Linked DNA regions of Drosophila melanogaster. The protein of the gene in region 3 interacts with the protein of the main gene of each other region in a pairwise test. Each region holds a gene or a part of one and is shown on either strand. Other genes may lie near its edges. The genes, in order: Aef1, B-H2 and Kah.

Region 1 (11,877 bases), about 21 Mb from region 3:
TGTCGGGGATCAAGGCGAACTATCTGACCATCGGAGTGACAGCCGATGTGGAGTTGAACGACTGCAGGGGATCGCGCTTGCCGCAGAATAGGCTCTCCTCGATTGCCGCCTGGGCGCTTAAAGGTAGCAAATCCGCTGGATTGGTGACCACCACTCGGGTTACCCACGCCAGTCCGGCCGGAGTTTATGCGCACACTTCGAATCGCGATTTCGAGAGCGACTACGACGTGACCAAATTGGGTCAAAATCCAGGAAACTGTCCGGATATCGCCCAGCAATTGATAGACGGAGATGTGGGCAAGCGACTGCGTGTGGTCATGGGCGGTGGAACCATTAAATTCTTGCCCAATACCACGAACGATGTGTTCGGAAACAAGGGCCAGCGGTTGGATAATAGGAACCTCATTGAGGAATGGCAACAAACAAAGCCGGGTAATGCTAGGGTGGTGTTTAGTCGTACGGATCTCCTGAACAATGATGCGCAGAACACTGACTTCCTGCTGGGGCTCTTCAATGCCTCTCACTTGGCGTACCACATGGACGACAGCATAGACACACCCACGCTACCCGAGATGACGGCAGCGGCCATAAATGTGCTTTCCCGAGATCCAAACGGGTATTTCCTTTTCGTGGAAGGCGGTCGAATCGATCACGCCCATCATGAGACCAAGGCCAAGAAGGCCTTGGATGAAACCGTTCAGTTTTCGGACGCAGTGAGAAAGGCACGACAACTCACCAATCCCTGGGACACCTTAATTGTGGTGAGTGCGGATCACGGACACACGGTCACGATCAGCGGCTATCCGGATGTTAACAACAGCATAGTAGGACTCAATTCCGAGCTAAGTAATGTGGACCAGCTGCCCTACACGTCCATCTCATATGCCAACGGCCCGGCCTACGAGAGATTCTACAAATCGACGGACGGAGTGGTGGAGCGCGTTGATCTCCGTAACCTGGACTTTTCCAAACCGGATGCCATCTATCCACATGGAGTGCCCATGACCGAGGAGACACACGGCGGTGGCGATGTGGCCGTCTATGCTCATGGTGAGTTCATGTTTTTTTGGTTTTTAAGTTTTTTTTTTTAGATGGGTTTTGAATGATATATATAATCTTAAATCCAAGCATTTAATCAAAACTCTTGAAATGTATAAAGTTGTGGAATATCTTCTTCAAGGTCCATGGTCTCATCTTTTCACTGGAGTTTACGAACAAAGCACCTTGCCTCATTTGATGGGCTTCGCCTCTTGCTTAGGACCTGGAATTACATATTGCGATCTGCAGCCAAAAGCAAGATACTCTCCCTAGAAAATCCCCTAGGAATAAATATGTTTAGAAATTGAATAAAATGATCTATTCTTAAAACAAATTGCGGAGATTCTAGAATCGCCATATTTAATCTTAACTTTTTAGCTTATATAGTTCCTGAATAAAGAGAATAAGCAAAGAAGCAACAGCACTTCCCAAAATTATTAATTAAAAAACAGACAAATTACATTACAAAATCATCTCCCTGATGTCAATTGATAGACCCCCAAATAATGAAAACTTAACCGATATAGAGCTGCGGTTAAAATAATAGCACTACTGCAGGTGGAAAGTTGATTTCCTAAAAAAAAATTATTAAATGTTTTTTTTTTAAGTCAGATTGCATGAATAATAAGTACCATATGTGGTCTCTCTGAGCAATAAATTTTTACTCTCTCAACGTAACGGTTCTTTTTGTTTTTGGGCACTTGCTGCAAAAGTGCGCGAAATTAGGCGGTAACAAACATAGCACTGACCACGTATTTGCTGAATAATATTAATAGAAGTGATTGCTTTGGGTTTTTTTTTCCACACATTTTATAAAAAGGAATTGAATTGAAGGTTTTAATTGAATTTTTTCCAAACGAAGGCCCAAAATTCTCAAGTCATGGGTCGCATAAAGCATTGTACCGTCGAAAAAAGAAATTTGATTAAAAACATGATCTCTGAAGGTAAAACCTACGCTGAAATTGGACGCATTGTCGGTTGTTCAAACAAGAAAGAAAGCCCTCAATGTCCAACGTTGAGATCAAGCCCTTGGTTCGACAAAGCCTTTTAAGCCGGCGACGGAACTGAAGAAGGAGCTTAATCACAAGTAATAAGACTGGACTGGACGTATAGGACACACCATTTTAATTGAAAATTTGAATAGAGAAAATTTAATAGAGAGTTTGAATTTTGGTTATTTCCATAATTTCGATATTATCGCATAAGTTAAAAAGCCGTTGAGCCCATTAGTATCGATTGTTCTATCGTTTTACCGTATATTTGGGCGGTCTGTCAGCGGTCACACTTAAAAATATCCCCGGCAAAAAAAAACACAAATTGTGTTTTTAATACTTTTGATATTCTAGCGTAAATAATTGTTACGCGCTCTGATGTCCACCACAATTAACGCCATAACGTTAGTCCTGGTCTAGAGGTTGAAAAGAATCCTGAAACCAAAGAACCTGAAGATCAGTTAGTAACCGAAGGAATTGCAATGGGTTCCAACGGCGAAGAATTATTGAATTTCGCAATGAACTCAGACAGCGTAAATACCATAAATTCAACAGCGGACGTCGCAGAAATTGTCTTAGACACTAATTTAGAGTTCAACAAGACGATTCCTTTTCATCTGCCTCAGGAGTCGGACGTGGAAATGGTCTCTGTCAGATCAGCTGCCGAACCTGATCCTAACAAATCAGATTCCAAAGCAAGTAATAAATCAGATTCCAAATTAGATGGTAAATCGATATTAGAGTCAGGAACCAAACCTCAGGCGGCCCCGGGGGAGGTTTTCGCTAGGAAGGCATGCCTCAAGAGGACCAACGAATATCCTGCTCCGCTGAATCATACTCTCAAGAAACTGAACTGGAAGTTTAACCTGCGTATATTGATCTCAAATCTGTACATGAAGAGCGAGGATCGTCTTCCGGGAGCTTGTGTTTCCAGGTGTCTTTACAATACTAGTCTGTGCACGCAAAGACATCGGTGCTCCGCGCTTCCGGATGGCCCAAACTTTGCGGCCGTTCAGGCGCTACGAACCACGTTGCACGGCCAGCACTACGATACATTCCTGGACATTCTGGAGATGATGGTGTTGCAGGGTGTCTACCCAGGCGAAGGAGTCTTTGACAGACTAATAGATATGGCCATGGTTGATTGCTTATTTCTCTGGTGTCACATTGTAATAATATCATGAATTCCTTATGCAGATCCTAATTGCCAAAGAGATAAGCGTAAAGGAGCTTGGCGACATCTACAACAAACTTATACGCACCTTTTTTCTTTTGGTCGACGCCTTTCCCCCGTGCTGGACAGCCCTGCGTCCTTACTACTTGAGTTTTCTGGGCGTCTCGCATCCCCCCTTGCGAGAAACACGTTCAACCAATTCTACCCAGAAGTTGCAGTTTTACATCGATCTTTTTGAGGAAAATCTAACGCATTGCAGCGATGAAGAGATACGTGAAAACACCAAATTCTATGAAAAGTTTGTGTTTAACTTCTCGGAAGAGGAGGATGCGAATATGTCCCAGGAAACGGTCTTTCTGCGACATGTACAGCAGTATGACTGGCAGAGTGGGAAGCTTTGTCTGGACGACTTCAAGAGAATGTCGCCCGCAGTCCGCTTGGCACGGCTCTGCGATGTCCTGAACATGCTCACATGTGTACTGGAAATAGAGTTCCTCTCCTGGCTGGATCATAACAGGTTGAGGCAGTCGGAGTCGGAGCTGTTTCAGGAAAACTCCAGGTCATTTGCCTCGATCGTATTTGAAATGTCAGCAGGAACGCGTCTCAGCGACATCGTTAAACAAATTATGAGTCTGTATGGACAGGTAGTGGCCAAGTCCATGTACCCAGAACGCCAGAGGATTCTCCAGGTAGGTTTGTAATGTTTTTGGGTTGTATGCTTTATGTAACTCTTTCAGTACTATTAGCGCCTTGTTTCCCTAATTGTCGAAGTAAGCAACACGGCAGAGCTAAAGTACGAGGATAATGCTGTGATATATCCTAGTATGGGACCCCAAACCCATCTGCTCATCGAAGACTTCTTCAAGATTTTTAAATCGCACAATCGCAAAAAGGTTCGCACCTACCTAATGGCTATTCGGCAGTTGGACCCCCCATATCTCCGCTTCGAGTTCACAGACCACTTTTTGAAGCTCTTTTTCTTTCCCAAAAAAACTCATTTTGGACCGGAAAAGGTGGTCGGAGAATTTAGAGCGCGTCAATGGGTAAAGTACAATCTTAAAAGTGAGATTGAGGATGACGATGACGAGCAGTTGTCGCGTGAGGATTACCTAGCATTACTCCTTAGCGCCTTAAAAGACTATGACAAGTGGTTAAATCTTGGAGGCTTTTGGAAGTACCTAATGAGTAAGGAGCTCGTGCAGCCGTTGACTGCGAGGATCAGTCCTGTGGGAAGAGTTGTGCGCGAGGCGCCGAAGGTGTTCAGGCTCGATGCGTTGGAGGAGGAGGTACACACCTGGAAGGAGCGCATGAGCACCAAAGTAATTACAGGTCGGGAAAAGGTGAACCTGCCGGTGGCCAGTATCAATATGGCCAAGATGTGTGTGCGCTATGGCGAGGATGTGAGACAAATGAGAGTTTTGCGACAACTCCTTCAAAACGAAGTTTACAAGGAGGTCGATGTGTCGGACTGGTTAACCTATCTGAACAACTTTCTGAGCTATGAAGAGTCCATGTCTCCAGTAGACTCTGCGTCTTCCTCCTTATTGGGAGGCATATGAGGGCCCAAATACGAAAATATATCTAAGGCTCCATTAAATTTAAGGAATTTCATACCGAAAGTTCAAACTTAATTATTTTAAGCCCGTTAATTAGTATTTATCTAAATGGTTTCAAATAAGAATGCATTTGATTCGTTACCGTTTGTCATAAATTCCGTTTCTGTATTTCTCCATTGCAAATATATATTTATGCTGTAACTAAATACACAATTACGTACACATTTACATATAAATACAGCTACTGCGCATGTACATACATACATTAATAAATATATATGTGTATAATTACATAATATTATCGCGATTTGTTTTTAAGCCTTTTGCTTGTTGGTTTTTTTGCAGTTCCTCATCCTTCTGCCATCTCGATTTGCCTAACGTGTCTTGTCTTTGTTCATTGTATGTCTAAATTCTTTGCAGTTTACATTTTACACACTCAACTATCATTAAAGTAGGCGCTTAAATGCTAATCTCACTACGTCATTTTTATATTAAGTATATGCATACGCTGGGGAGGGTTAGAAAAGCTGGGTGCAGAGCTCAGATGTTACAAAGAGCAGAATCCGATCTGCATCAAATATTAAGCATTCATTTTAGAGCGACCTTTCAAATTCTCTAGGGATCTTAGATCCTGGCGAGGATCTGCATTCAGGGCCTTGAAAAACATAGCACGGATTCAAGCGTTGCTCTTATCATTGCTCTACTAGGTTGGGATTTCGGTTTTTTGTTTCTGCTGTCTTGTCTTTAATTTGTTTAACACTACACATTTATCAACATTTATTTAATATTCATTCCATATAGGCTAGGTTTCTTTGAATGTGTCTCCACTTCCCGGCTTGCAATTGATTCGTATACATTTGGGGACATCCGTGTTTGTTGCGCTTTGAATTCTATAGGAACTTGATACAGGAGTCTTTTCGGTTTGACCCTTGCTGCAGTTTTTAAAGGTATTTAAAGGCGACCGGCGTTTGAAACAAAGGACAGTCGGGATGTGAGGAAACCAAGGGTAACATACATAAATTAAAGGGCTAACATAAAAAGTCACATGTTGTATTTTTAGAAAATATTATTTTCTCTTTTAAAAAGGTTTTCGTTTACAATTTAGTTAAACTCTTTCGCTTTCGCTTTATACATACAAATTGGAGTTGGGCTTTGTACAGAACTTGTTGCTTTACTATCTCATAATCGTAATTAGTTATGAATTAATTAGCGTTACTTTGTGTTTACTTCATTAACTAATATTTAAACGAAGGCTAGCGTGACAGCTTTTGTGTTTCCAAATTATGCCAATGCTGAAATTAAAACTACTAAGACTAATCAATTAAAATTAACAAAACGCTGATTTAAAAACTATGGCTCTCTAGGGACTAAGAGCTAATTAGATAGTTTCGACCACTTAACACTATTAGAATATTTTTCTTTGCCGTTTTCTGTTCAGGATATTTTTTTAAGTTTTGCTGACAAGTTTACGAAGTTAAATAATTAAGCTATTGATTTTATAAACAAATTGTATTTGTGTTAGCCCAGACTAAAACACGCCCTTGCAAGATGGCGAAAAACGTCACCAACTTTGAGTTGTACAACAATTTTTCTTAAGCTTTAAATGCTAAATTAAACAACTTAAAAGTGAGTCGGGTCAACAATTTACAATCTGAAACGGGTTGCACTTTGGGAAATATTTTAATTAAGTTCTTCGTACACGTAATGCTTTTTGCCTTTTGGGTTTAGTTTGCTCTTGCTATTAGCAAACTATTTTCACTCTAGTTAGGGTTAGGTTATTTTATAAGTGAGTAGAGAGGGGTTTAATCTATTTCCGGGGCTGAGAGGGTTGTGAATGTGAGATGGGGTGCGCTGCTATAGAGACAACTCTCTGCAAAGGTCTTTCATCTGGTTTTTAGTTTAGCTTTACTATTATTTTAGTATTTTTGTTTCTGTTTTTGTTTACGGTTTGTGTTATTTTTTTGGGAGCTCTGGGTGCTGGTGTCGGCGCCTTTCGTTTACCTACTTTTGAAGCGTTTGCTATACAATCATCTTGGTAAGTTCTTAGTCACACATTTAAACCTTAACAACAACAACAATGTTCGCTACAATTAAACAACTAACAACAACGTAAGCGTACACACCAAACATGGCTCACTTCTGGCTCGATCGCTGCTCCTCTTTCTGCTCCTGAATTTCCACTACATCCGCATCCACTTCCGACTCATGCTCCTGTTCATCCTCTTCATCCGCATTCTCCTCCTTGAGCATGTACTCGAGGAGCAGCTCATCGACTCATCCCTCGCGTTGCGTTTCCGCCGTCGCTGACGTCGTGGCTGTGCCACCATTCGATGGTGACTCCACCTTGATCACTCCAAGCTGCTGCAGTTCCTCTCGTGTGTGCTGGATGCGACCCACCACAACACCGCCCATGGTCACAAAGCTCCCGTCCGCCGTCACAGCGCCCAATTGCATAGCGCTGGATAAGTCCCCTAGAGCGGCCACATTAAAATGATGGTGCGGCGAGCCATCCTGAATGTGCTGATGCTGCTGGTGATGTTGGGCCACTGTCGTGGCGGAGGGCAACGTGGTTATGGTGACTCCACGCTGATCGATATGCTGCTGCTGCTGCTGGGACGGAGGCGGCGGGTGGTGCTGATGCTGCTGCTGTTGATGGTGGTGCTGGTGTTGCTGCTGCTGATGGTGGTGCGCCGCCAACGGCATTCGTCCTAGTCACCCCTCATCCTCCTCTGTTTTGATCTTAACAGGAACGTAGACTTTGTCCATGACGTGTATTTTTATGTGGTTGTTGAGCGTGCTGGACTGTCGGAACTGCTTCTTGCAGATGACACACTCAAAAGGCTTTTCACCTAAAGAATAAGACACAAATCAGTTTCGGTCAAAATTGTATGGTAGCACACTTCATCACTCACCCGTGTGGATCTTCACATGGTTGGCCAGCGTGCTCAGTTGTCGAAAATGCTTGGGACAAAAGTTGCAGTTATAAGGCTTCTCGCCCGTATGGATCTTCAGATGGTTCGTCAGCGTCGACGATTGACGGAAGGTCTTATCACAAACGTTGCATTTGTAGGGCTTCTCGCCAGTATGGATCTTTACATGGTTGGTCAGTGTGCTTAGCTGTCGAAAGCGACGATCGCAGACGGTGCAGTGGAAAGGTTTCTCCGGCTCGCGGACAGCTCCCCCTACGCCAACGGCAGCGTTGCCCTCTCCGGGATGCTCGCTATGTCCATTGGCCAGGTAATGCTCACTGTGGATCGTTGTCGGACTATGCGTGGTCAGGTGCGTCAGATGTGAAGTTGGTGGCGGCGGTTGCTGTTGTTCCGCCGCAGCAGCTTGGGCTGCTGCAGCTTGGGCAGCTGCCATAGCCGCTGCTTGGGCGGCACTATGCGCCTCCGCCGAGATCCCGCTTAAGTGCATCTGGAAGGGCAAGGGGAGTTCCGTGGGTGGCGGCGGCACAGAGGGTGGTCCGCTCGACTGCTGTTGCTGCTGCTGATGATGTTGCTGCTGCTGTTGCTGTTGTTGTTGCTGCTGCTGTTGAACCGCCGCCATGTGAGCCGGATGCGTGGCCTGGGTGACCGTCTCATTGTTATTATTGTTTGCTATGGTGGTTTGGGGCTGGGCGGCCACTATGACAATGTCGCAGTTACTGCTCATCGCCGTAGCAGCGGCATGGGCATGGGGCAGGCTTTTGATATGCATCATGGACTGCTCTTGCTGGGATTAGGTAGTCTGGATTCGGGATTCGAAGCTGGATTTGAATCTGGTGGAATAGTGGAGGGAGACTGCGGTACCTCGGTGACTTGAACAGAAAGCTGGCTAACAAACTAAGATCGATGCTTCAAAAATGCCACGACATGCTCATCTTGGGCGCTTCTCTGATGTTGTTGCTGCTAGTGCCTGTGTTTGGAGAAGGGAGATTGGGATTAGTTGAGTCGGCGGCTTGGCTTTTTGGTATGCAAAAATATGTGAGGAATTCCCAAAACATACGAAATACCTAACTGCGAAATTATAAATCTAAATTATTCAATAGCTGACACACTTTGATAGCTGGGCTCCCGGCTCCAGCTCCACTTCCTCCCCTTGAAGCCCCCTTTCCATATGGTTCCTATGGTTCTTTGTGTGCCCTTATTAGTGAAACGCATTGAAGCCCATTTTGTGTCCTAACTAGCATATTACTCCTTCGTCTCCTTTAGGCAAGCCTCTCTACATAAATAAGTATTTGGAACTACACGGCTTACATATCCATACATGTTTGTAAGGAGGTAACTGGCTTACTTTACGGTGTGAAACTATGTTTTAAATCATTCAGGTATAATGATTAACGTATTAAGCGTTCAAAGCAATATTCTTGCGAGAGTAAATATTTTCGGGCTTTATAACATTTATTAAAGAGCCATACTAATATTAAACTCACAAACAAACTGTGATGAGTAATTTTTAAATAAGATCCATAACGGATGACCGAATCCTTAAAAGATTTTTATGACTTCGATGGTATGAAAACTTCGAATATACGTCAAAGAGCATAAATTATTAAACATACGATTGATTATGCATTTTGAAACAAAATAAAACGCGCGCTGCTTGCATGCATGTAACTTTTAATATATTTTTTGAACGCTGGTTTTTACGTTCGCCGGACAAGTTACCTGACCCGCCCCCTGCTCACCCACCAGACAAGATAGACACTGAGGCCAACACAACACGCACACACATGGAGCACTCAGGTATCTCTCTTTTTGTGTTGAATTGACAGCGTGTTACTTTCTCGCCAAATTACATGTGTTTTTCTGGCAACTTAAGAACTTAGTGATAACTTTACCAATTGGATAACAATCTCAACGGAGGCGAGATCGACAGGATTCCGAACTGACCTTTTTTGGGCGGGCTTTTTGGGGGATATTTTCCCCTTTTTTCAAAAGCAGTTTTTCCACTAACACGTTGCCTCTAGATCGCCCCTCGCGCTCCCTTCTTCAGCTAAAAGTCACAACCACTTTCAGTCGCACACACGTATGGACATCACTAGCGCACACACGTACACGTACTGTGTAAAAGCTCTTTTGAGGTTAGGATACTTTTAATTTTGGAGCTCTCCGCTCGAAAATGTCCATTGTTTTTCACACGTCTATAAACGCTATTTTTGCCAAATGATTCCAGACGGAATTGGGTATACTGAGTGACACACTTGAACTCTTTTCGGGCGCCCACACATTGACCTACCTTTCCATTTTGTGGCTGTGCTGTGTGGGGCCTTTCAGGTTTAGATTTCCCCCGTTTTACATCATTTTTCGCACTCGATTCGGTTTTTTGGGGGATATGGGCCTTTCGGAGGGTGTTCGCGTATTGCTCTCGCCTATCAGAATCGGGTCCTCACAGCATTATCTGTGGCTGGTTCTTCATTTATAAAAAGCGTATAAACGTTAGAAAAATAGTACAAATATTTCTTTTCTTTTTTTTACTGTTTCGCGTACAAAATAGACGCGAATGAACTAGTGCCAATTGGGGATGGGCGATAGCTATGGGGGACCTGTTACTGATCACGAGTGTGAAGGAATCACGATGACTGCCCCGAACTCAATGGGAAAGTTGGTATAAGAGATCAAATTTGGGAAAATTCTCAGATTTATTTAGGCCAGCACATCTTTATAATTATTTTTTTTCCCACCATATTAATATAAAATCATTTTCTAATGTGACTTCTCGTGAATATCGAATTGCCATCTCTATGCTAAATGAGCTAGTTCCACTGAAGTCATTCACATAGGAATATGTAAGTTTTCTTTCGTTTTTGAGAGGTTTTCCTCCCGCCACAGTACGGTCACACTGCCCGGTGCAGAACTTTTGTATAGGAATTTCGTTTGCATTATTTTTTATTAAATTGTACTTAAAGACCAAATGCAATTGCTCAGAAAAGTGCAGGTGCAAGTTTTATAAAATCGTGCAGACCCGCGAAGCCTGCGACTGATCACCATGTGCCTGCCCATTGGTTAAACTCAGCTCGCTGTTAACTTTGTTTGTGTTTTTGTTGTGACTTCCAGCCGGCGGACGCAGTTCATCTATTTGGAAGGTAAGCAGAATTTAGGTAAGTATATACTGAAGGACTATACTGAAAGGTACCTTCGATCCTGACCGCTTTTTCGTTACGGCACGAGAGCCTGTCCATCACCTGCTTCACGAATCCCTTAGCATCTTCCTCCTTCTGCTGGGCCACAGCTTGAATATGGGAATTTGCCCTCAGTTGCATGGCCCGAATGTCATCCTGCATCGCCTTCTTACTGCGCTCCACCACTGCATCTAGAGGGTCTTCAAAGGTAGTGCTTGGCTCGAAGATGTTGCCATTACCATTGCCATGTCCTGCAGAATTGTGGTTTGAGTTTACAGAGGCCGTTGTTCGTTCATCCTCCTCGTTGGAACCCAACGTTGTGGTGGTCTTTGGTGCCCCCTCTTTGAAGGACAAGTCATCCTCGCCGCGAGGTGTGGAACATGGCGTGGTCTGTGGATCAGCCTCCCTCGCCGCTTTTATCTGAAACAATGAGGAGATGTTTTCCTTGGCGCCCAGTACTTCAGTAGAGATCTTGCTGGTCACCGAATCCATAGCCCTGCCCATCGAATCTTTTGTTTCCGAGGCTGCTTTGACCGCATTACTGCCCGCCTGCTCCACTGCATGCATTGCACTACTTCCTACTTGTTCCACTGCGTGCATTGCATCGCTGGCCAACCGATGGGCACCTTTACCCGCCGCTCCTACTGCTCCTCCCACGGTATCCACGGCTCCTCGAGCTCCAGTAGCCATTCGCTCGCCTACAGCTTCCATGGCATCACGAGCTCCATTTGCTGCATTTTTTACCGCTGTTTGAATCGAGTTACGAGTGGAGTCCATGACATCTATCGCGTCTTCGCCGACTTTGGACACCGCCTCCTCAGAGCTCGTCACAATTTTGTCAACTTGCTCCTCACCACGCTGCATTTTTTGCTCTCCATCTGATTCCAGATCCTCCACGGAGCTCTCCAGTGGTGTATCTGGCATTTGTTCCTCTACCCTGGACGTCACATCCACTCCGTCGTTTATGAACCGTATTTCGTTGATCACTTTGCTGCTGTCCGTTGAGTCCTTCGT
Region 2 (9,148 bases), on a different chromosome or scaffold from region 3:
GGCAGCATCAAGGCGATTAGCGAAAAGCGGTAAATGTTGTGTTAAACCTCAATTAAGATCCAACGGGGAGAATGGGGATTGGGATGGGGCTATGGGTATCTGGATATCTGTATATCTCGCGAGGCGGGAGCCGAGAAGTCGGGGGATCTCAACCAGGTAGACAGGGTACGCCAACAGGATGTTAAACTCTTGCGGGCAATTTGAATTCGCTTTGACTGACGCCACACGCCAGGGTCAGCTCAGCGGATTTACGATCCGAATACGAATCCGCATCCGAACTGCTAAATGATCTCACACAGGCGACGACGAATGGCGCCTAGAAGGTACATATATGTATCGTGTGTGTGTGTGTGTGTGTACCTTTCTGTATGGCCCTGCTTGAAATTCCCCCTTACTTTGGACCCCTGTTAAGTGCTTTTTAATTTGTTTGCATTCGAAATCCGAATTCCCTGTGTTCCGCTTTTATCGGGAATCAAGTGAGCTGAGTGCAATTACGACACCTTCAAAAAGCCAACGGCCCAGGATGCGAAAGGGCGGCGGGAACGGAGGATACTCATCCTCAAGGCACTTAAGCGCATCCCCGGGGGGGTTGTTCCACCCACTTTTCAGCCACTTTTCACCGCTTTCCACCCGCCATCGCAATCTGTGGGTGGTGAGTGGCACTGGCTAATTAAAATTACTTTCCAGCGCGACACTCGGAAATTTACTAGCGCGTTGGACGGGGGAGGAGGAGGAAAAGCGGAGGTGGGGGCCACGTTAATGGTCAGCTGGTCAGTTTGCAGCCACTCTTAATGAGCGTCCCCAGTCATTTGCTTGGGAACGAGACCTTCTCGCATCGCCAACTGCGTATTTGTCATTTTTAATGTCTTTTTAAACCACGCGAAAGCTGAACCACTCTTGCCCCGTAACGGTCTCTTCGACTATCCTATCCGAACTGGGCTTTCACCGATGATAGGATTCTGAAAGTTGGTACTCGGTGTTAAATAGCCCAATGGTTGAGAATACCTTTGGTTTTGGTAAGATCTGTAGTGATGATGTGTTTGATTTTTTACCAGGAGGAAGATATTTAATGGTGTTATCGTTCTGAACATGGGTACTAGTGATTTGGTATTCATAATCTCGAGTATTTTGTGGTTCCGTTCATGTGTGTTGAGATTTTCACGCACTTCTTTTCAATCCAATTTTCATTCCAATATTCTTACTTGGATATTATGAACCTTAAAAAACGCGCATACAATTTCTGGTCAAGCCAAAAAGTCACAACTTCCTCCCATCAGTTAGAGTATATTGCTGTCGTACTTCAACTTTGGCCATTTACACCGAGTTCATCTTTAATTAACTTATTTCGCTGCTGTGTATTATATTTCGCTTTGTACCCGCTGAACGAGCGCCAAGTGCCGTTAGTTAGACCCCGACAAAATGGCGGACGCAGCTGGAAAATGAAAATACGTCGAATATCCGTGGGATTTTTGGTGATTGCGAGTGCGGGAGAGTGGCGAAAGTCAAGTTGCCTCATTAGCAGGCAAAGGGAATGCTGAAAGATAAATTATTGTCACATTTTTACGGAAACCTCATTAATGGAATGGTGGTGTTTCGACATCGAGAGCGAGAGAGCAGTGACAGATGGGGAAGTTACTTTTAGATGGATAGGCTTGGGGGAATTCCAATTAAAATTAGAACACGTGCAGTAAGTGCCAAATTTTACTCAATTTCTTAGGATTTCCGGTGCTTATCCCTTTCAGTACCACTTACGTTATAAATATATATTTTTTTGAATAAATGTAAACATTGTATTAAATTGGTCTGACCTTAGTTTTATTTATTGATAATTAAGAAAACAATTATCAATAAGTAAATTACATAAAAAAAATGATAAGTTTATGTTCATATCTATTAATGCTATAATTTATATTACAGGAAAATCAATCTCATGGTTTATTCAGAGGCAATACAAACTGTACCCAATGATCCCGGTCACGTCTTCGTTTTCCTGCTCCAGCCCGATCGTTTGTCAGGTCGTAAATGCTTGGGATATATCTATGATTACGATACTCTATTCCTGGAAACGTTTGGCGACAGGAACTCGGATACATACCAATGGCCAGTAATACCCGACAATTGCTGCCGTGAGGCCATTTTGAAAAGCTAACTATACAATAAACATGTGGCAGCGGGAGCATCCGCCTCCAGGCGCCAAAGACTGCCTCCTCGAGTAGCTCCTGCCCACCGGAGCACGCTTGTTAGTCCACAGGAATGAGGTGGTAGGAACCCCCAGTGGTATACAGCCCCCTCTTGGATAGCCACCCCCCCCCTGAGACCCATTCACTTGCACATTAGGCAGCAAATTGACATCGATACAAGAAGTAAACCAGAAGTGAGTGGAAAGAGAGGGCACTATCGCGTGCGACAGAGAGGAAAGCGTGCAGCATTTAACTGCTGCCAATTTACTGTTTAAATGCCAAACAAAAAGTGTTAACAAGCGCAAAAATAACAAAAGACACCAACAACAAAGTACGCAGAGCGAGAGGGCCCGAGGCGAGCCACAGGCGGCCAGCCCTTGGGCCAAAGCGAGACAGACAGATGTCGTGCCGGCTGCCTCTCGCTCGCACAAACCAGTTTAAGGGGGCGTGGCCTGGCCACAAAACAGGGTTGACAGCATCCCATCCATCCATCTTGCCATCCGGATATCTGTCCATCAGATACAACAGCAAAAGCAACATTAGAAGCAAAAGCAAAGGCGGCAGCTGCCCTGCTGCCATAATCGTGTTGAGTTTCAAGCTGCCATAAAAAGTTTATGGGAAGTCGTATTGAACAGGGAAACCTTCTAAAACAGTATGATTTTGCTACTGCTGGAGGCATATTGCATAAATGTTCTGTCATTCCTGTACAAACTATATTTAGTTGGAAAGTTAGATAACAAGTTATTAGTATATTAAAGATGCATGGCTACATATTTTTTAATAATACTCGCTATTATAATAAAAGTTTACCATTAACACTGTTCAAATTTTGTTTGAAAGCAGCTAAAATAATATGAAATAACCAACTGACCCCTAAGACTATATTTAACCCTCAAAGATAACGAACACGTTTTTGTTCAGATTTATAGAAATCAAATAAGTACAAATAACTTTTTATATAAATTGACAAGACTTAATAAACCCTATTTATTTAAGGATATGAAGTTAATTGCAATACTTTTTGTGCGGTTGTAGTTCGAAACAGCCAACTCCACCACGTGCCATAAAAATAACCGTTAGACGTGCGGCCATTGCCGGCGGAAAGTCACCACACCCGCCAACTTGAGTCCCGCTGATTGAAGCCTAATGAATGTCAATTGCTGCCAATTACGACCAATAAGTGCGGGCAATAAATGTGGGCAGCCGTGGGTGCGAGCGAGAGGCAGTCGCGGGGCGACAGAGAGGGAAACTCACCACACCGCCACTTGGCCAGGTCAATGAGCGAAAAAGAGACGACGACAGGTGGCAGCTGATGGGAAGCGGTGGCTCAACTGGTTTTTGCTGCCTTCTTGTTGTTGCTGCTGTTGCCGCTGCTGCTGTTGTTGCTGCTGCTGCTGCCAGTTGCTGTTGCTGGCAGCAAGTTTCAGTTTCGGTCGAAAGCCAAAGGCGAGCGGTTGTTGCTCCGCTATTGAACATCACAAAGTGTGCGCACCTCAGCGACATTTGCGTTAAAAACCCAGTTGGGCCAAGAAAACATTAACCAACGCAAGAGCAATCGAAAGCGGAGTTCAAGAACTTGTCAAGTTTAAGAAATAAGTGCGAGCAGCTACCAACAATTAACTGAAGAAGTGCTAAAAACTCGCGTCACCCATACATACATACATAGCTGTTTGTTTTTTTTCGGTGCAAAGTGCAGGTGCAGCAGCGGAGTCGTCGGCTAACCACACATGACCACAATGCCACCGGAAATGTCCGCAACAACGGCAGCTCCCGTTGGCAGTGCACCGAGTGCCACCGCTCATCATCCCGCTGCCGTCGGCGGCGGTATGCCGCGTCCAGCTTCCCCGGCCGTCGGCAGCAACACGACGACAGCCACGGCCACAACGGCGACGCGATCCCGCTTTATGATCACCGATATTTTGGCAGGAGCCGCGGCCGCATCGGCGGCGGCAGCAGCAGCGGCGGCCGCCTTGGCAGCCGCCTCTTCCGGCGGTGGGCGTGGCAGTCCGACGGACTCGGAGCGGGAGCAATCGCTGGTCGCCCAGCATCACCACCATCACCAGCAGCAGCAACAACACCATCATCACCAGCAGCAGCAGCAGCAGCAGCAACATCAGCAGGCTGCCCTGCAACAGTACATCGTGCAACAGCAGCAGTTGCTGCGCTTTGAACGGGAAAGGGAGAGGGAGCGGGAGCGGGAACACTATAGGGAGAGACATTCGCCGCCTGGCAACAATCCCTATGCCCACCACCCCATGCCGCCCCATCTGCTCGCCCACTTTCCGCCCGCCCACTACGCCGTGCTGCAGCAGCAGCAACAGCAACAGCAGCAACAGCAACATCCCCACCCGCATCATCTGCAGCTTGAGAGGGAACGATTGGAGGCACTGCATCGGCATGGCCACGGGCTGACCGGTGATCCTGCCCAGCACTTGAGCCACTTAAGCCACCTGAGCCACCAGCAGCACCATCCGCATCTGCATCATCCCATGCACGATGAGCGATCCCGGTCACCGCTGATGCTGCAACAATTGGGCGGTAACGGTGGCAATAACAACAACAATAACAACAACAGCAGCAGTGCCAGTAACAACAACAACAACAACAACAACAGTGCTAGTGCCAACAGCAACATCATCAGCGGCAACAGCAGCAGCAGCAACAACAACAATGGCAGTGGCAACGGCAACATGTTGCTCGGAGGACCCGGCAGCAGCATTAGCGGCGATCAAGCCAGCACAATCGACGACAGCGACAGCGATGATTGCGGTAAGTCGCTGATCATATATCATAAACATACAATGAATCTGTATAGCAATATGGTTTAAGCTGTATTTCAAGGATAAGGCTACATCGGGAATATATAAAGTATATATATATATATATAGCAGAAATAATTAAGTTGCTAACTAAAGGAAGAGACTAGTTCATGAGACAGACATACAGATTCAGATGGATCTTGAAGAATAGCACCAAGTGCGGAATATATGTATATGTATATAGACACTTTATTGCAATATCAAGTAATATGAGAAGAGCAAAGCGGGGATACATATAGAGAATATATATATATATATATATAGCAATATGATATTTGTGATATTTCAGGGACTGGACTGGATGGGAAAGTGAAATCTAATGAACAACTGATATTCAAAATAGCAAGAAAAAAGAAAGACAAGATATAATGCGAGATATAAATGTTTCAAAATACCAATCAAGGCTTTTTTATACGTGTTCCTGACGTACAAATTAAAAGCAATCAAAATCTAGCTAATATATATGTATTTAAGCTCTAGTAAATTTGCATAGAATATTAAAGGAAATAAAGGAAGCTAGTAATTATAGTATACAAATTGCCATTAAAACCAGTTCTATTTATAAACTTTACCAAAGTTCAGCTGTATTAGCTATTTTATTAAACGAAAAGGGCTTTTATGGCTATAGAGAATAGAAATTATTTCATAGTATGCACACCAATAAATGTTAGCTGATAAATTTGATTCGGTTGGTATTAATTTGAAACCCAAACGGTGGACTTTTGTTTATACACTGAAGGGGATCTCGAAACCAATTTACACCTATCCATCTGACCCCTGAGTTCGCACCACTTTAAATTTACGATTTTCCCCGCGACCGGGATATATCATATATTGAGTGCTAAGCGTGGTTGTTTTTCCTGTTGTCTTTGTCGTTTTTGTTGTGGCTGTTGGCTAATAGATAACGGCCAACAACAACCGCACCAACAACCACCGTAAATTGTGCGGCTCGAACGGGGAAAATGCTGGCTTGATAGGCGAAGACTCGAAAAATACAGGTGAGTTCGAGTCTGAGGCAGGTGTCTTAGGTTTTGTCTCTCACTCTCTCTTTCTTCCTCTACCTGTATATGTCTCTCTTTCTGTTTTTTCCTTTTCAATCCCCCCCCCCCCCCCTCAACTTATTGGCCAGATTAGCCAAGTGTTCGCTTATTTTCAACATATTTCCCAGTCAAAACTGTCAACAGAATACCCTTGACTGCCACGCCCCCCGCGTGCCGTCAACCTTGTTTTGCATGCAACAATCTAATTGATTTTGTTGCCTAGCTTTAGTTTTGCTTTTTTCCTCTCGTTAAGTGCTTTTAAACGATATGCAAATTATAACAAATTACTATTAAATAGCCGTAATCGTGCGTTTGCAATTGATTTGCAGTAATATAATTTAGAAAGGCCGAGAACGTGCACAAATATATATGTATGTATTTGAAAGAGCATGGAAATCAGAACAAAAGGTCAGAATGTTGAGTTTGCTACAAAAGATGTGTGTGTGTTTTTATTATAGATTTTTTACGAAATCCCAAAGGATGATAAAAATGAGTTTCCACTATTTTTGGATAACTAAAATGCCGAGTAATTTTAGTTATTTTAATAATTGCCCGGTCTCAATTCAGTTTTTTTTTTGTTAACGAGAAATTATAAGCCCCTAAGCAATTTTGTTTCAATCAAAGCTTCCCCAATTTCATGGACAATTTTCACATTTATATGTGTTTTTTGACTTGTGCCAAAATCAATTACCAAATTAAACTATAACCAAAAGCGGAGATTTCTCCCTCCAAGTGACCCCCTTCTGTTTTGACTTCCCGCTGTCATTTTTCCAAACCGAAATTGCCTTGACTTGAGCCACAAGCCAGGCCGTGCCACACACACGCAGATAAATAAAAACACAAATGAAACTGAAGAAATCAAAATCAAAATTTAATTTAATCTGCTGGCTGGGCAGCCGGACAACCCACACACAGTCTCCTCTACAAAAAAAAAAAAAACACCCATTGGCATTCTCGCTTTCTCTCTCGCTCTCTTATGAAGAACCCACGCTGAGAAAAATAAAAAAAAGAGTTATACAAGGAAGGCTATTCTCAAAATATAACATTTCGATGACGTTATTTAAAAATCAGAAAGCTTATAAAATATTAGGTTAACGGTGGACATATTATCCTCAAAAAAAAAAAAAAAAAATTTACAAAGCAGTTATTTTGTCCCAAGACTTTAGTTTAAAAATGGAATAGAAAGAAATAGCTCGATGTGCAGCGAAAGAGAGGGATATGTTAATGTACTCAGTACTCGCGTGTCACTTGAGACGCGTGCGAGCGACAGTTGTTGCTCATTCGTGCGCCTCCTCCTTCTCCTCGTCTTTGCTCACCTCTTTCTTGATCTTTCTCTTCTTTTATCCTTTTTTACCCACCTTGGCGTTTTTTACGAGGCTCAAACGACGATCCTTGCTTCGCACCGCGTTTGAAATTGACCCAAAAGCTTGTTCTCTGCCCAGCGAACCGTACACTGATCGAAAAAAGGGGGGATATCGAAAAATTATCGGTGAGTCTGGATGGTGGACGGGGTAACTCTTGCCACTTCAATGCCTCCATCGAGTGCTAAAAAAAAAAAGAAAAGACGAAAAAAGTTTCAATATTGAAATTGATATTTTCGGGCATCGTCTTTCACATATTTTGGCATTTCAGGAATGCCAGACTTTTGCTTTGGCTTCCAAGATCACGTATTCATATGCGGTGTATATGGCTCAAAACAGGGCAGACGAAGCTCATCCACTTAATCCACAAAATGTTTAATGGATATCCACGAAAAATTCACGTGCGCCACAAAAAGCGCAAAAGCGAATCAAGTTCGTTGCCCAAGTCTTTTGTTTCTATTTTGCAGTCTGCTTCGGCTTCTTTTCGGCGCTGCTTCTTATTTATATTATTTAAGTTTTGATTGATATGGCATATGCCCTTACCGACGTGTTTCATGGGTAAATAATGAGAGCTTTAACGTTTGATGGCTTGGTGAAATTAGAAAAACTGCTTTTAAGAACGAGCTATGATTATTAACGGCTTTAAGTACAAGGTTCTCATAGTTAATTGTAGAGCAGTAAAGGCTTCGTTGTTGATTTTCCAACATCATTTTCCAGCCGTTTTCCGTGAAGGAAATGTTAAATCGCAGACCCAACAGCCACAATAATAATTACAAATTATAATGCAGGTAACACGAAAAGCTAACCACCGTTATGTAAGACCACTCGCTTCTCATGTTGCTGCTGCACTTGCAACGTTTTCTTTTGTTGCTGTTGTTGCTGCTGTTACTAGACTGCACTAAACGCCAACATTATCAAAATGTTGATAAACGTTTAGCTAAAACAGAGGGGAAGAGGGGTCGGCAGGAGGGGGGGGTGTGTGGAAGTGGAATGGACTAAGAAGGTCTGGAAGAAGAACATTGCTTATATTCTTTAATTAAAATGCAAAAAGGCCAATTGCAAATGTGTTACGGCTGCTTCTTCTTCCCATGGTTACTGCCGCTTGCGCAATTAAAATGCAAACACAAAAAGCAGCAGCAACAACTAAAATAAGAAAAGAAGGAGAAGGAGCAAAAGAGAGGGGGCAATAGGAGCTGCACACTTAAGCATGTTTAATACAGTTTAGCCACAAGCACTTAATTACAAATGCGAATGTAAAAACTGCAAAGGGGGGGGGGGGCTTACCATCTGAAAACAGGGGCAGAAAGACTCAGTGAACGAGTGAAAGAGAGGGGGCGACTGGCGGCAGAAAGAGGGAGCACTACAAGCTCTGCAAGTGTGGAACAGAAATTGCGGAAATGCTTCGAAAGTCAAACTTCTTTGGGGAACGGTTGTTAATGCATTAAAAAAAGAAGGGGAGGGGGGGGGCGAGGAGTGGGAGTTGCCACAGGAGAAAGAGGAAGCCAGAAGGCGGAAGATGGGGGCGTGGTCGGCTACAGAAAGTGCCTCCGTTATTAGTGAAGCATTCAACAAAGTAAAACAGATTTCTGATAGATTTTCAAGCTCAAGTGATTTTCAAAAGCACGGAAAGAATTTTTTGGCCTACCACACTAAGTTAAATACTCAAAAATAATAAAGTTTGCGAATTGTATATATTTTTACATTAACTTAAACAATTTACAAACATTTGTTCTTCTACTGTTAAATTA
Region 3 (12,087 bases):
AAAGTAAACCAAATTATAAAACAAATACAAGGAAAAAATAAAAAGAAACAAAAAACGACAACAAATAACAAATACAAAACCAAAATTATCAACAACATAAAGAAAATCCTTTCTCTTATTATTACGTGGGAAACGTTTGGCGGATATTAGTAATCCGAGTTGCATGGCAATCCTAATCGTTTCGATTAATCAAGTCGAAGTAGGCTACCGAGTCAGTCGTCTAAATTCAAAAACCCCATTTGGGCTATCAGAGACTGAATATACTATTTTTCTATAGTAGCTAAGAGGCGTGCGTACCTGTAAAAGGACCATAACCCAACAGAATTCCGAATATAAGTTGACCGCCAGAAGGACAAACAGGTGAATACCTGGTGCATTATCATCGTCAATAATGGCTTACTCCTTCCTCAAGTTCACAATGGGACAGACACTGTCGGAACCAGTGACCACCAAGGACACCGCTTGCTGTGCCAATGCAAGCTATCGCGTGGGCTCATCATGCATGCAAGGATGGCGCGTGGATATGGAGGACGCCCACACCCACATTCTTTCCCTGCCGGATGACCCGCAGGCGGCCTTCTTCGCCGTTTACGACGGACACGGTGGAGCTTCAGTGGCCAAGTACGCTGGTAAGCATTTGCACAAGTTCATTACGAAGCGGCCGGAGTATCGGGACAATAGCATTGAGGTGGCCTTGAAAAAGGCCTTCCTCGACTTCGATCGGGAGATGCTGCAAAATGGCTCCCTTGATGAGCAAACGGCCGGCTGCACTGCCATTGTGGTGCTCATTAGGGAGCGTCGCCTGTACTGTGCCAATGCGGGCGATTCGCGGGCCATCGCCTGCATTTCTGGAATGGTTCACGCCCTGTCCGTCGACCACAAGCCGAATGACGCGAAGGAGTCCAAACGGATCATGGCCAGCGGTGGTTGGGTGGAGTTTAATCGGGTCAATGGCAATCTGGCCCTTTCCCGCGCCCTCGGCGACTTTATCTACAAGAAGAACTTACTAAAGACTCCAGAAGAGCAAATCGTGACGGCCTATCCCGACGTGGAGGTTCTTGACATCACCGAAGACTTGGAGTTTGTCCTGCTGGCCTGCGACGGGATCTGGGATGTGATGAGCAACTTCGAAGTCTGCCAGTTCGTGCACAAGCGCATACGCGATGGCATGGAGCCGGAACTCATTTGCGAGGAACTGATGAACAGCTGCTTGTCTCCGGATGGCCACACGGGCAATGTGGGCGGCGACAACATGACCGTCATCCTGGTGTGCCTGCTGCACAACAAGAGCTACGAGGATCTGGCGGTGCGCTGCGGAGGCAAACGAAAGACCCCCGTTGAAACCGTAGGCGACATCCAGGATCAGTCGGTGAAGGTCGTAACTCCCTGTTCTCAGGGATCTTCGGGGTCGTCGACTTCTCGATTGGGCCTGGGCTTCGGACTTCGCGAAAGCGAAACTCCCGAGGCTAATCTTTAACTTTTGTTTTACCTTTTACATTTTTCATTACTGCATTTGTTTGCTCTTACTCTTAATGTACTTTTGTACTTTGATTGTCGATCCAGACGCTGTTGGCACTACAAAATTATCAGTCAACACATCACATTTCCCGGCAGTACAAATATAACACAATACACTACACTTTCCCCCAACTAGCAGGGAAATAAGAACACTTCGTTTTGTATTTTCTCGGGGATCAATGGATCGGATCTCTTGTTTAATTCGAGTTAATGTGCAAATCTATAGTACATTTTATAGCTACGTATACGTGTATATATCTTTTGGTGTATATGGTAAGTACGAGTAAATAAAGGTAGTATGCGTGCGCATCTAAATCGAAGTATCTTTGGTGCGATTAGCTGTAGAGCTGTAGATCGAATCGGAGTGAATCGAGTCGAATCGAAATGCAGTGAGTATCTGTCTATCGATCGATACTAGATGGTAAGGCCACAATGAGAAGGCCGATTGCTCCGAATCGTGCTAGTAGAAGTATACAGATTGCAATATGGTTAAGTGCCAGGCGCTAATTAGCCATACATATATGTCAATTATTGCACCACATGCGGCCATAAAGTGCTTAAAGTAACGCCACGCACAAAAGGGGATGGGATCGGGAATGCTCCCGATCTCGCCAAATGTGCGCTTTATTTAAATATAAAGACTAGAAATTCTCTCGTTTTGGAACGACTTCCGTGCCGGAAGCAGGAAGCCGATCAATGCCTTAATGCGAAGTGATTAATGGGGTTAGTAAGTGGGGTGGATATCTTTGGATATTCCTATGCTTCTTGTAAAATCATAAAGCTAGATGACTATGTGTAAAGTTTGTAGCTTGGCTGCGGAGTTCGATCGTCTGGGGCTGGGATGCTATATCTTTCGCTCTCCGATCGATCGGTAATCGTATGTGCTATAAAAAAATACTGGTTACATTGGTTTTTTGTCGCTGTTCTTGGCAAGTCTCTAAGAAGTCTCTTATTACAACTAAGTGAAGATCAAACGATCAATCGGGAATCGATCCAACCTTGTCTCTCTATATCTACTGTGTATGACCTCGCCTTCCTTGGAGTTTTCCGAGAAGAGGGAACTCTTCTGTTCGACGAGCTGTGCGTGCTCCTCTTTGCTCTGGAATCATCTACTCTCTAATGGTACTTTAGCTCTTTTGCATTATTATCACATATTCGTTGACTACAGTAAGAAAATGTCCTGGATTGGTGGTGGCTGGTGGGCTGTGAAAGGACTTGGATTAAGTGGCATTTCAGTAACGGTCTCCTCGAATGGCCTTGGGGTAGTGCTCTGCTTTGCTCTCTCCGGTGTCTTTTGCGTGGTATCCTGGCTGGTAAGATCCTATGCCACCATGGCGTAATTCCCGGTCAGCTCGAAGGGACTCGTCTTGGCCGAGTGCGTGAAGTTGTTCTTGGGCGAAAAGTCAACGGGCTGCTCCTGCACGGAGGTGGGATCCGATTGGCCCGTGGACGTGGCCTGGCCCTGAAAGTGATACGGCATCGCCAAAGGCAGGGCCAGTGGCACGTGGCGATTGGGGAGCAGGTCCTGGTACAGGCTGGGTACCCTATGCGGCATCACTTTCGGCTGAATCACGTTGATCCGCTTGAACTTCTCATATTCCTCCTGGGCCGAAGTTGCGTGGCTGTAAGCCGTCACTTCTGGCCCAGCCGGAAAGCCCTGGAAGGCCATGGCCGCCTGCCTGCGATCCTTTTCCTTCTGCAACAGCTTGTTGGCCAGCGTAGACTTGGCTGAATCGGAGGCAGCACACTGAAATCACCACCGTAAATCAGAAGGTTATTCAAGTGAAGAGATGTCATATCGATTTAAGGAACTCACCACTGCCGCGGCAGGTGATCCAGGAGCCAATGCCGAGATGGTGCCGCTTGTTACCTCCGCCTGTTGCCTTTTTGGCGACGAGGGAGGTCGGTTGCCGGATGCTGCTCCCGATCCCGGAACGCCTCCTCGATTCTTCATGCACGATGACTCCTCGTGCTTGTACAGGTAGGACTTGAGAGCGAAGGCCTTGCCGCATCGCGCACATGTGTGTGGCTTGGTGTTCGAGTGGGTCTGGATGTGGGCGCGCAGGTTGCTCTTGTCGGCGAACGCCTTCTCGCAGACGCCGCACTTGAAGGGCTTTTCGCCTGTGTGGGTGCGGATGTGGCCCTGGAGGAGCCAGGGCCTTGAGAAGCGCTTGCCGCAGAACTGACACTCGCATCCCTGATTGTGGGTGCGCACATGCATCGAGTAGGCGGGCATCGAAACGTACACCTTCTCGCAATAAGGACAGTGACGCGCTTTCTTATCCATGATTGATCTTTAAAGAACATAGACTTAGCAATACTTCACCAGAAAAATGTACAAAACTTTAGCTCACCTGTGCGTTTGTCTATGACGTGCTAGGTTGGAGGATGTGGAGTATTTCTTTCCGCACTCGGGACAGATGTGCTCGTCCTCCAGCAACGAAGTGCTGTTGAGGATTTCGCCCTGCTCCCCATGATGGTGGTGCACCGATGAGTGCCCCTGGAGTCCCAGGTGGTCCTCCGAGGATTGACGGCTGGAGGTGGAACTGGAACTGCTGCTGGCGCAGGAATTCGAGTCGGAGATTGTGCAACGACGCAGTTTCCTGCGATCGAAGACCTTGTGGCTGTAGTAGTTGGAGTCGTCGTCCGAGGAGGCGTACAGTGGCAGTGGCTTCACCTCGTCCGTGACCAGAGGACCAACGGACAGAGTAACCTCGGCCAGCTGGGTGAGATTGTACAACTCCTCGGGAATGGGTGTCGCCTGCTGGTCCTTCGTCATCGTGTTGAAGAGCTGGTGAAATGCCTGCAAAGCATCGGGTATTTTCTATGATGAAAACAGCATGACTATACCCGAAATATTTCCTGCTAAATGCGCACGTGATGCGTCATTACCTAGCTAACACATATCAGCCACTACATTAGCCACTACTAGTCAGTGCTGAGTTGAAAATCTTCACCTTTTCCGGACGATGGTGTAAAAGACTTATATCAACGATATGCTCATTAATTAAACTCACATTCTCCTAATTAGTGGTTCATTATAGCTTGAGAAAGTGCACTAAAAATAGACCAATAATCGAATTATTCGGCATAAGAAACCCCCAGCGGATCGCACATCCATGGTGCGATCGCCGCCATCTATCATCCCACCTATCATAGATCTTTCCCTCCTTGTGCTTACGCCATAATTCGTGTTTGTTTATTTGAAAATGCATCAATTTATAATTAAGGACAGAGTCGAGAGGCCACACACTCGTAGTCTGAGATGTGAGCCAAAGTCGTCTGCATCATCATCATTGCCGAATAGGAATTATCGCACATGGTTGAGGGTTAGCAGAGCCCACGGGGCGTATGATTAACGTCATTGCATACCGCATACCGCATGTTGCATATTGCATATTGCATATTGCATTCTGATTCTGATTCTGGCACTTGTTGGCTGTTTTGCGGCTCGGTGGTGCCGATTTTGTGCCGGTGTTCGCCATCTTCGCCTCTTTGCGTGGTCAAATAAATTTATGTCGAAATGAGTGCGCTTAATTTGTACATGTTCTTTTGGCATTGATTAATCTCGCTCGTAATTGGCGCATCCGAAAGTCAGGTGGGCTTGGGTCTATTATATGTTGGAGTTCACTGTACCATGCCCACCGGGATGCTCACAAAGAAGCCAGTCTTGAAATATAAATGCCTTCATTTTGTAATGTTCTTCAAAATATTATTGTATTTCTTTCAAAGCGGCGCCATTTATGTATATATGTATATACCTCTCTCCCACTCAATCGTTTGTTTATCATGTGAAAGTTTTCGCCTTAATTTTTCTGCCCCCAAAAGATTTTCTGAATAATCGAACCCATTGAGAAATTTGGAAGAATCGATGAAACAGTGGCGTTCTTCCACTCTTGAGGAGGTCATGTGCAATACTCTGCGGTGTTTTGGTTTTGAAATTGCTCTTGCTTTCGGTTTTGTTTGTTTCTCTAACACTCTCTGTGTTTCGCCTGAGGCCAGCCGCGTGATGTGTGTTTCTTTTTCGGTATCGAGGAAAATGTGGGTGAAAATTCCCCCTGAATCAACCTAGCTAAACAGCTGCCATCCGCCCCCGCCAACGAATTCGGCAACCTGTTGCGCCCGCTTAGCTGCCAATTCCCATCGGCTTCTCCTCGGGGAGCAGTACATCAAAATGTTTCTGCGGCAATTAAGCGGAATGATCGCTGCCAAGGTGGCCGGAGGTGTGCGAAAGTGGTTTTCCATGGAAGGAAATACCTTCGCGCCTCTTCCCCTTTTTGAGTGGGTGTGAGCGAAAGCCGCCAGACGTCCATAATTTGTGTCTTGGCAATTTGCGGCCCATTTATTTATGTGCCCCACCACCTGAGGCCCTGTTCCCAGGTGGTTGCCGTATACATTTAAATATATGTAGCTAGCACCCGAATGTATGCCATTTTCCAACTAATCGCGTCATTTTCAATACCCGATTTCCATCGAACACGAAATGCTCGAGTCTCTGAAGAACAATATGCGTCTGAGAATTCGCCGGGGAAAGCAGCTGACAAGTGATCGGCGGAGCTCCTCTATGGATCCCATAGAGCCACAGAACCCCACTCCCCCTACACCACCAAATGAAATATGTCTGTGCCATATTTCCGATGTCAGAGTCGCTTGGGGCATACGAAATGTCGCATGTTTCTCTGACAGGTCGTTAATTAATTATTCCTCGGCCCCGTGCGATTGCAGATCGGTCGGTAATCGCAGATGACAGGAAGAAGGTGGGTAGGGATCGACGATGTACATTTGCATCGGACTCGAATGGAAAACGCAAGGAACTTCTTAAACGAGGAGTCAGTCGATCCGATCGAAGGAGCAGAACAGAAATAGTTGAAATATATATTTGGAGTTTTCCATGACTACTGTTTTTGGTGTGAGTAACTCATATATGTTATAATTTACATATTTTTTGAGCAACAGTTTTCCCACAGTGTACTTAAGCAGCTTAGAGTCCCCCCAGTTGGATGACTCATTTCTGCTCCCCCATCCGCAACTTGGTCGTTCCATGTGCACCGAACAATGGACCACGGACCGGGTGAATTATTTTACTCTCCGCCTGCCATTTTCCTTTTCATGCCGCCGCAGATCTGCGCAAATTGCGTGGTCTCCGCCCTCCGGTCTCCCATCTCCCATCTCCGATCTCCGGCCGTACAGTTCGCCCGAGTAGACCGTGTCCGTATTGCTGGACCGGGGAAGAGTTCAAAGTCCTGTTAATGTACACAGAGGCCAAGAGAATGGCGATGGCCAACAGAGGTGGCTTCGGTGGCCTTAACATGCGTCTTCCCCTCGCTGCCAGGCGTCTATAAATACCTGATGCCTGATCCCAAGCGGCAGGGGCAGGGGGAAGGGGCAGTGATCCCAGCATAGTTTACATTTTAGTTCAGGCTAAATACGAGTGCACAATAAACAAAAATCCAGAGCGCCAGCCTCAACCTCTGGCTGCTTCCCAGTCCAGAGTCAATGCCATGCACCATGGATAGACAGCGTGTATGCCATACAGTAGGCACACCACCCCCACCCACTGCGCCTCAGTGGATATGTCGGATTTGGGCATCAGTTTTTGTTTACCCCAGATCGCAGGCCCTCATCAATCGTTGCCTCAACTGCAGTTCCCGTTGCCGGCGGTTTGTTTACGGACCCGCGGCATAAACATTTGGACGGGAAAGGACACAAAGGAGCGGGCTTCACCTGTAAATCACGGCGGTTAATTATCCCCGAACCGCCGCATTAATCAGGTTCATATGTATGCACTGTATGATCTGTTGTTTATCCGCTTTATGCGCCCAAATTGGACGGAGGATCTACGCATCTACCACCGCGAGACAATGGCCATACCCATACCAATGCATATAGTCATGCGGAAAGATACCAACTATACTATACTCGTACGTCCCGGTCACTATTTCCCGTTCGCAGAAGCTCATTGCCAATGCAAACATTGCTCACGTAAATGTCAAAATATCAAAAGAAATAATAATATTAATTTAACAAGTGCGGCCCGTTCTGTCCGTTGGTTGGGTGGAGTGAAGGGGGGGGTTTTGGGGGGTGTGCAATGGGGATCGGAAAACGCCGCTCATTTGCAGTCACGCGAATCTGTTGGCCCAATTTGCCAAGCAGATTTTCGATCTTGTTTCGGTTCCTGGGCAGATAGTTATGCACGAGCGAGGTGTGTGTTCTATTGTGTAATCGAAAGGCGGTAAAGGTGCAAATTTGAAGAGCGAAGTTCACTTTCCACCACCTTCCGTTCACATTTCGCCAACTCACCCCACGCAGTTCGAATAGTTGACGGAAAACAATCCACTGCCGTCGTCGCTCCGCCTCGAATATAGACGGATGATTCAGTTGCCGATGGGAAGTCAATGCTTTATCACACACGGAGCGCAAATTCCACGAATCTCATCACCCGCCAAGAGTCCGCGATGGCAACGGGTGATGGGTGATGGGTGATTGGTGATGCTGATTTTGGGGATCGCACTGAATCTCGATAAGTGTCAAACGGATTTATTAGTCGCACGGACGGATTGCGCATCCGTGAAGGCGAGCGAACGCAGCGAGATCCCAGGAAGAACTGAGCGTTCTTCGCCAGACCACTTACAGTTTTTACATCTTGCGACCGCTGCCGCCGCGGCGATTCTTCTGCCTCCGGCGGCGTCCACCTCGCGGTCTCGGTCTCCCATCCTCTCCTACATTTTCGTACACTGAGAAAAATAGCCTTACACTTCTGTATTATGCACCCCAACTGTATTAGTATTGCAGTTTCTGTTATTTCCATTTAGCTATTTCCATTCGGATTTATTTCTGGCATGGGACCCCCCGTTTCGCTCCGTGTACATCCGCATCCACGTCGAGGAGGTGACGAAGCTGACGCAGAGCCAGCAGCTGTTGGTCGCTCTTGCCGAGGATCGGAACGGTACGGATCGACATCGGCATCGGCATCGGATCGAACATGACTTCGAGAACGAACCACGACGCAACAGCGACGGAACAAGTGTGCGCGGTTTAAAAATAACAATAATGTTTTCATTGCGCTACCCTTTCTCTGCGCAGCCCTCTCTGCCATGGCTTTCCATTGCATTTTCCGAAAGGGAAAACTGTGCCCGAGGTGACGAGGCGCTCCTGCTGGCAGGACCACTGCGCAGAATTCTTCTAACGATCCGCAGTCAGTGTCAAAAACCTTACACACTCGCTGAAGAACAGACAGGGTTGTTGTAATAGGTCTTTTTTTTTTGTATTTGTGGTATTTGTTGTAAACTGATGAAATTAATTACTTGAGCTATATAAGGATGTAGTCTCACATGTTAAGATAAATGTTTTATATATTAGTTGCCTACTTCCCCTTGTAGAATCAATATATAGTCTGTTTTAATTTTGTATGTCGAGAAGATTATCAATTCGATAGACTGATAGCTGTACCTCTAGTCTAGCTAGTGATATTTCGGTGACCTCGACTGTGGGAATTTGCCCCATGTGTCAGTGTGTTTTCGCCTGCCCCATGCTGATTTGCCTAGAAAGAGAGAGGCACTACTCTCGCTTCGTGGTTGGGCAGTTTCTTCGGTAGCCGAGCCGGCTACCCGTCTTCTCCCACTCTTCTTGCTGCTCGGATTCTTCTCCTGCTGTTGGCTGATGGGGATGGGAATGGGTGCTCTTCGCGAAGAGTGACGCAGTCGTATGCAATTTGGCATTTTCCTCGCCTGCGTACTTGTTGCGGGCATCCAAAATAGACTCGCTCACCTGAACCTCTCCACCCCATTCCATTCCGCCCCCAAAAGTGTGCACTCTGCAGATTCCCCACCTCCGTTGGCCTTAGAAATCCAACGGATTTCTCGCAGGTGTTGCCGTTTTCTCTCGTTTCCTCCACTTTTCATTTTCGACTTTTCAGGCGTAATGAACTTAATGTCGCCCCTTTGGGTGTTTTTTTTTTCGGTTGGGGTCTTCAGATGTATTGGGTGCTAACGTATTTTCTATATATTCGATATGATTTATGCCGAGCGGCGGTTTCTGTGTCTGTTTCTGTTTATGGTTCTGGTTTGAATTGGATTTTGATGTTTCACAAAAGATCTTTACAGTTGGGCGGGGATTGTAATGGGTTTATTTATAAGGCCACCCCTTGTGGCCAACAAATGTGTTTAGTGGCTCCCTGTCCGCGACTTTATTTCCCGATCGCACTTTTCGCACTTCTTGTGGCATTTTCACACTCTACAACTTGCTGCCCACGCGACGAAGACAAAGGAAATCGCTTGGTGGCGAATGGAAAAGCTAAGAGGAAGGGAAGGAAGGGGAAGAAGGGGTGGGCTTTGTCTGGCGCCAACATGGAAATGCAATTTGAGTGGTAAGGTCAGGCTGGGCCATAGCCATGCATCACCGTCATCGCGGAGCTTTGGACACGGGAAAGGCCTTCTTCTGCCAGCGTGACATGTGCTAAAGACATTTTGCGTCGACTTTAATCACGGCAATTAATAAGACAAGAAAGGAAGTCCCACAAAGGAAGTGTCCCCAACTGGCGGCCCAGCAAATTGCTGTGGATCAGCGCGGTTCATAGTACACCCCTAGCATACCCATACACCATGGCCTCACCCGGAGCGTGCGATTCTGGAAAACCGCCGAAGACGTCGTGACTGGCGGCCATAAATCTATTTTCGTCCTGGTTCCAGCCTTCAGCGCTTCCCCATCCCTGGAAGCCCCTCCAGATCCCAGACCGTCGGGGATCGGTACGCTTTTCTCACTTGCTGCGCAATTGCGGGATCCAATCTTCCATACTGCAACTCCTTCTACAACTCCACACACTGAGAGAATACTCAGTAAACTGGTCATGGGAAATGAGACAATAATCCAAACTTCATAATTATAGCCTGAACTTGACCTCTTCTTAGTATCTACGTGATTTCAAGCATCAAGCATCCGATTTCCCGCAGTGCATGACCGCTTATTAAGTGCCCCTGGATCTTTATTTTTAACTGCTGCCGCCAAGATCGGGTGGTTGGGATCTCATTCTCTGCGTAGGTAAAAGGCAGAGGGCTACGTGGTGGTGCACTTCTGTACGTATTGGGTATATCGTCTGAATTGAATCCGCAAGTGAATCGAATCCACATTTGCAAATTCCAGACGGTGTCCAATTATTTACGCAGATAAATAAGCGAAATCCGCCGTAATGCGAAATTCAACAAGAAGTAAAGAAGGCACACAACTTGCTCCGCCTTTGTTTGGTAAATAAAGATCCACAATGATGTGGGTTAGTAAATTATCCCCAATTGTAGTGATGGATCGAAATCAGATCAATGGATCTGGCCCGAGATCGAGTGGCAATAACTTATGCGGAGCGGTGCAACTTCAGCACCTAATTTCAGGTCCAGCCGCATCCTGTTTACGGGAACTCCTTGTGAACTCAAGGGTTTTGTCGGATGGATGTGGATATGGAAATGGATCTGGATGCGGATGGAAGGTGGGTAGGGAGGGCCTTCGGGCCGGATATGTGAGTGTGAGTAATTCCTGGGCGCGGAATCAAAGTTTTGGATCGTGCCGTTCCGTGGCGAGATCATAAAGTTCTATTTATACCAATTAGGGGAGAGCTATAGTTGCGGGAAGTTCAAACTCCGAGTACCGAGTACCGATCCCGAGTCCCTAGTCCCGATCCCCCTGCCACCCATCTGCGAGAACTTTCCAAGAGCAAGTGGAGCGATTCCGAAGGTGGCTGCCACTTTGCAAGGCCCAAACGAATGTGTTTTTTGGTGGGTGAGGATAGAGACGGAGGGTTGGCATGTGCCGCCACTTGAATCAGTGGCTGTTTATTGGGGATGGGATCGGATTGTGAGAGAGAGGGGTATGGGGATCGGGATCGGGGAGGCTCCGAGTGCCATGTGCAATGGCAGCCAAACATCAACCGTGTCAAAATTCAAAGAAACAAAAGCGGAAATGTTTTTGTTTTCCTTATTTTTAACAGCCGCCACATGAGGAAAACTAAAACACCCGAGTGCCCGTGGTAGTGGTAATGGTAATGGAAAGCTGACTTGGTCAATGAACTTTTCCCGCTGTCTATAATTGGCAGTGCCAGCGGAATTTGGTTATGAACCTGGCACTACGATGAAGTTAAAAAGTAAATATTATATATAAAATAAAACATTCGGAGAACATTCATTAAATTAAGATAAAACCCGATCAGGCGATCATGTGAGACTGCGATTTATTGGGCAAAATAAATAATTTAATATTTTGTCTACAGACCAATAAAAGAAATCCAAAAACTCTTAACAATGTGAGATTATTAATTAAGCAGCTTATAAATAATAAGTGTTAACTAATAATAATAATAATAATATAATAATATAATAATAATTATAATATAATTTATGCATGATATGTGAAAATTTTAAATTGTATCTACATATTTTGCATGTAGAATATTTAAAAATTATATGTAAAAATACGTATATTACTGGAATGCAGTATTAATGTATTAGTTGATAAATACTAAAAAGTGCGCAAGTCAAACGGTAACACCGATACTTTCGTACAACTAACGCCTCCTAAAATCGATGA

Evidence for each region.
Region 1: the proteins of Kah (region 3) and Aef1 interact in a two-hybrid assay, tested with the Drosophila melanogaster proteins (one large-scale study listed by BioGRID).
Region 2: the proteins of Kah (region 3) and B-H2 interact in a two-hybrid assay, tested with the Drosophila melanogaster proteins (one large-scale study listed by BioGRID).

Annotation. Positions count from the first base shown.
Region 1 is NT_037436.4:21,431,805-21,443,681, reverse strand, and holds Aef1 (adult enhancer factor 1), read right to left. Parts: upstream 10,255-11,877; 5' UTR 9,981-10,254; intron 9,810-9,980; exon of another isoform or gene 9,635-9,809; intron 8,658-9,634; 5' UTR 8,463-8,657; coding exon 7,673-8,462; intron 7,610-7,672; coding exon 7,473-7,609; coding exon of another isoform or gene 7,035-7,472; 3' UTR 5,043-7,034; downstream 1-5,042. Other genes in the region: Alp1 (alkaline phosphatase 1), read left to right, coding at 1-1,050, 1,160-1,311; CG5664 (uncharacterized protein), read left to right, coding at 2,513-3,169, 3,228-3,893, 3,951-4,763; CG33288 (uncharacterized protein), read right to left, coding at 10,689-10,816, 10,878-11,877. UniProt on the Drosophila melanogaster protein: Transcriptional repressor that binds specifically to fat body-specific enhancers, namely the adult ADH enhancer (AAE) and the enhancer that controls yolk protein gene expression.
Region 2 is NC_004354.4:17,310,963-17,320,110, forward strand, and holds the start of B-H2 (BarH2), read left to right. Parts: upstream 1-3,618; 5' UTR 3,619-3,907; coding exon 3,908-4,949; intron 4,950-9,148. UniProt on the Drosophila melanogaster protein: B-H1 and B-H2 are regulated by members of the wg signaling pathway; wg and dpp. B-H1 and B-H2 are coexpressed and functionally required in R1 and R6 receptor cells and primary pigment cells for normal eye development.
Region 3 is NT_037436.4:581,145-593,231, forward strand, and holds Kah (kahuli), read right to left. Parts: upstream 8,131-12,087; 5' UTR 7,819-8,130; intron 4,322-7,818; 5' UTR 4,298-4,321; coding exon 3,873-4,297; intron 3,813-3,872; coding exon 3,335-3,812; intron 3,266-3,334; coding exon 2,840-3,265; 3' UTR 1,680-2,839; downstream 1-1,679. Other genes in the region: Ppm1, read left to right, coding at 419-1,477.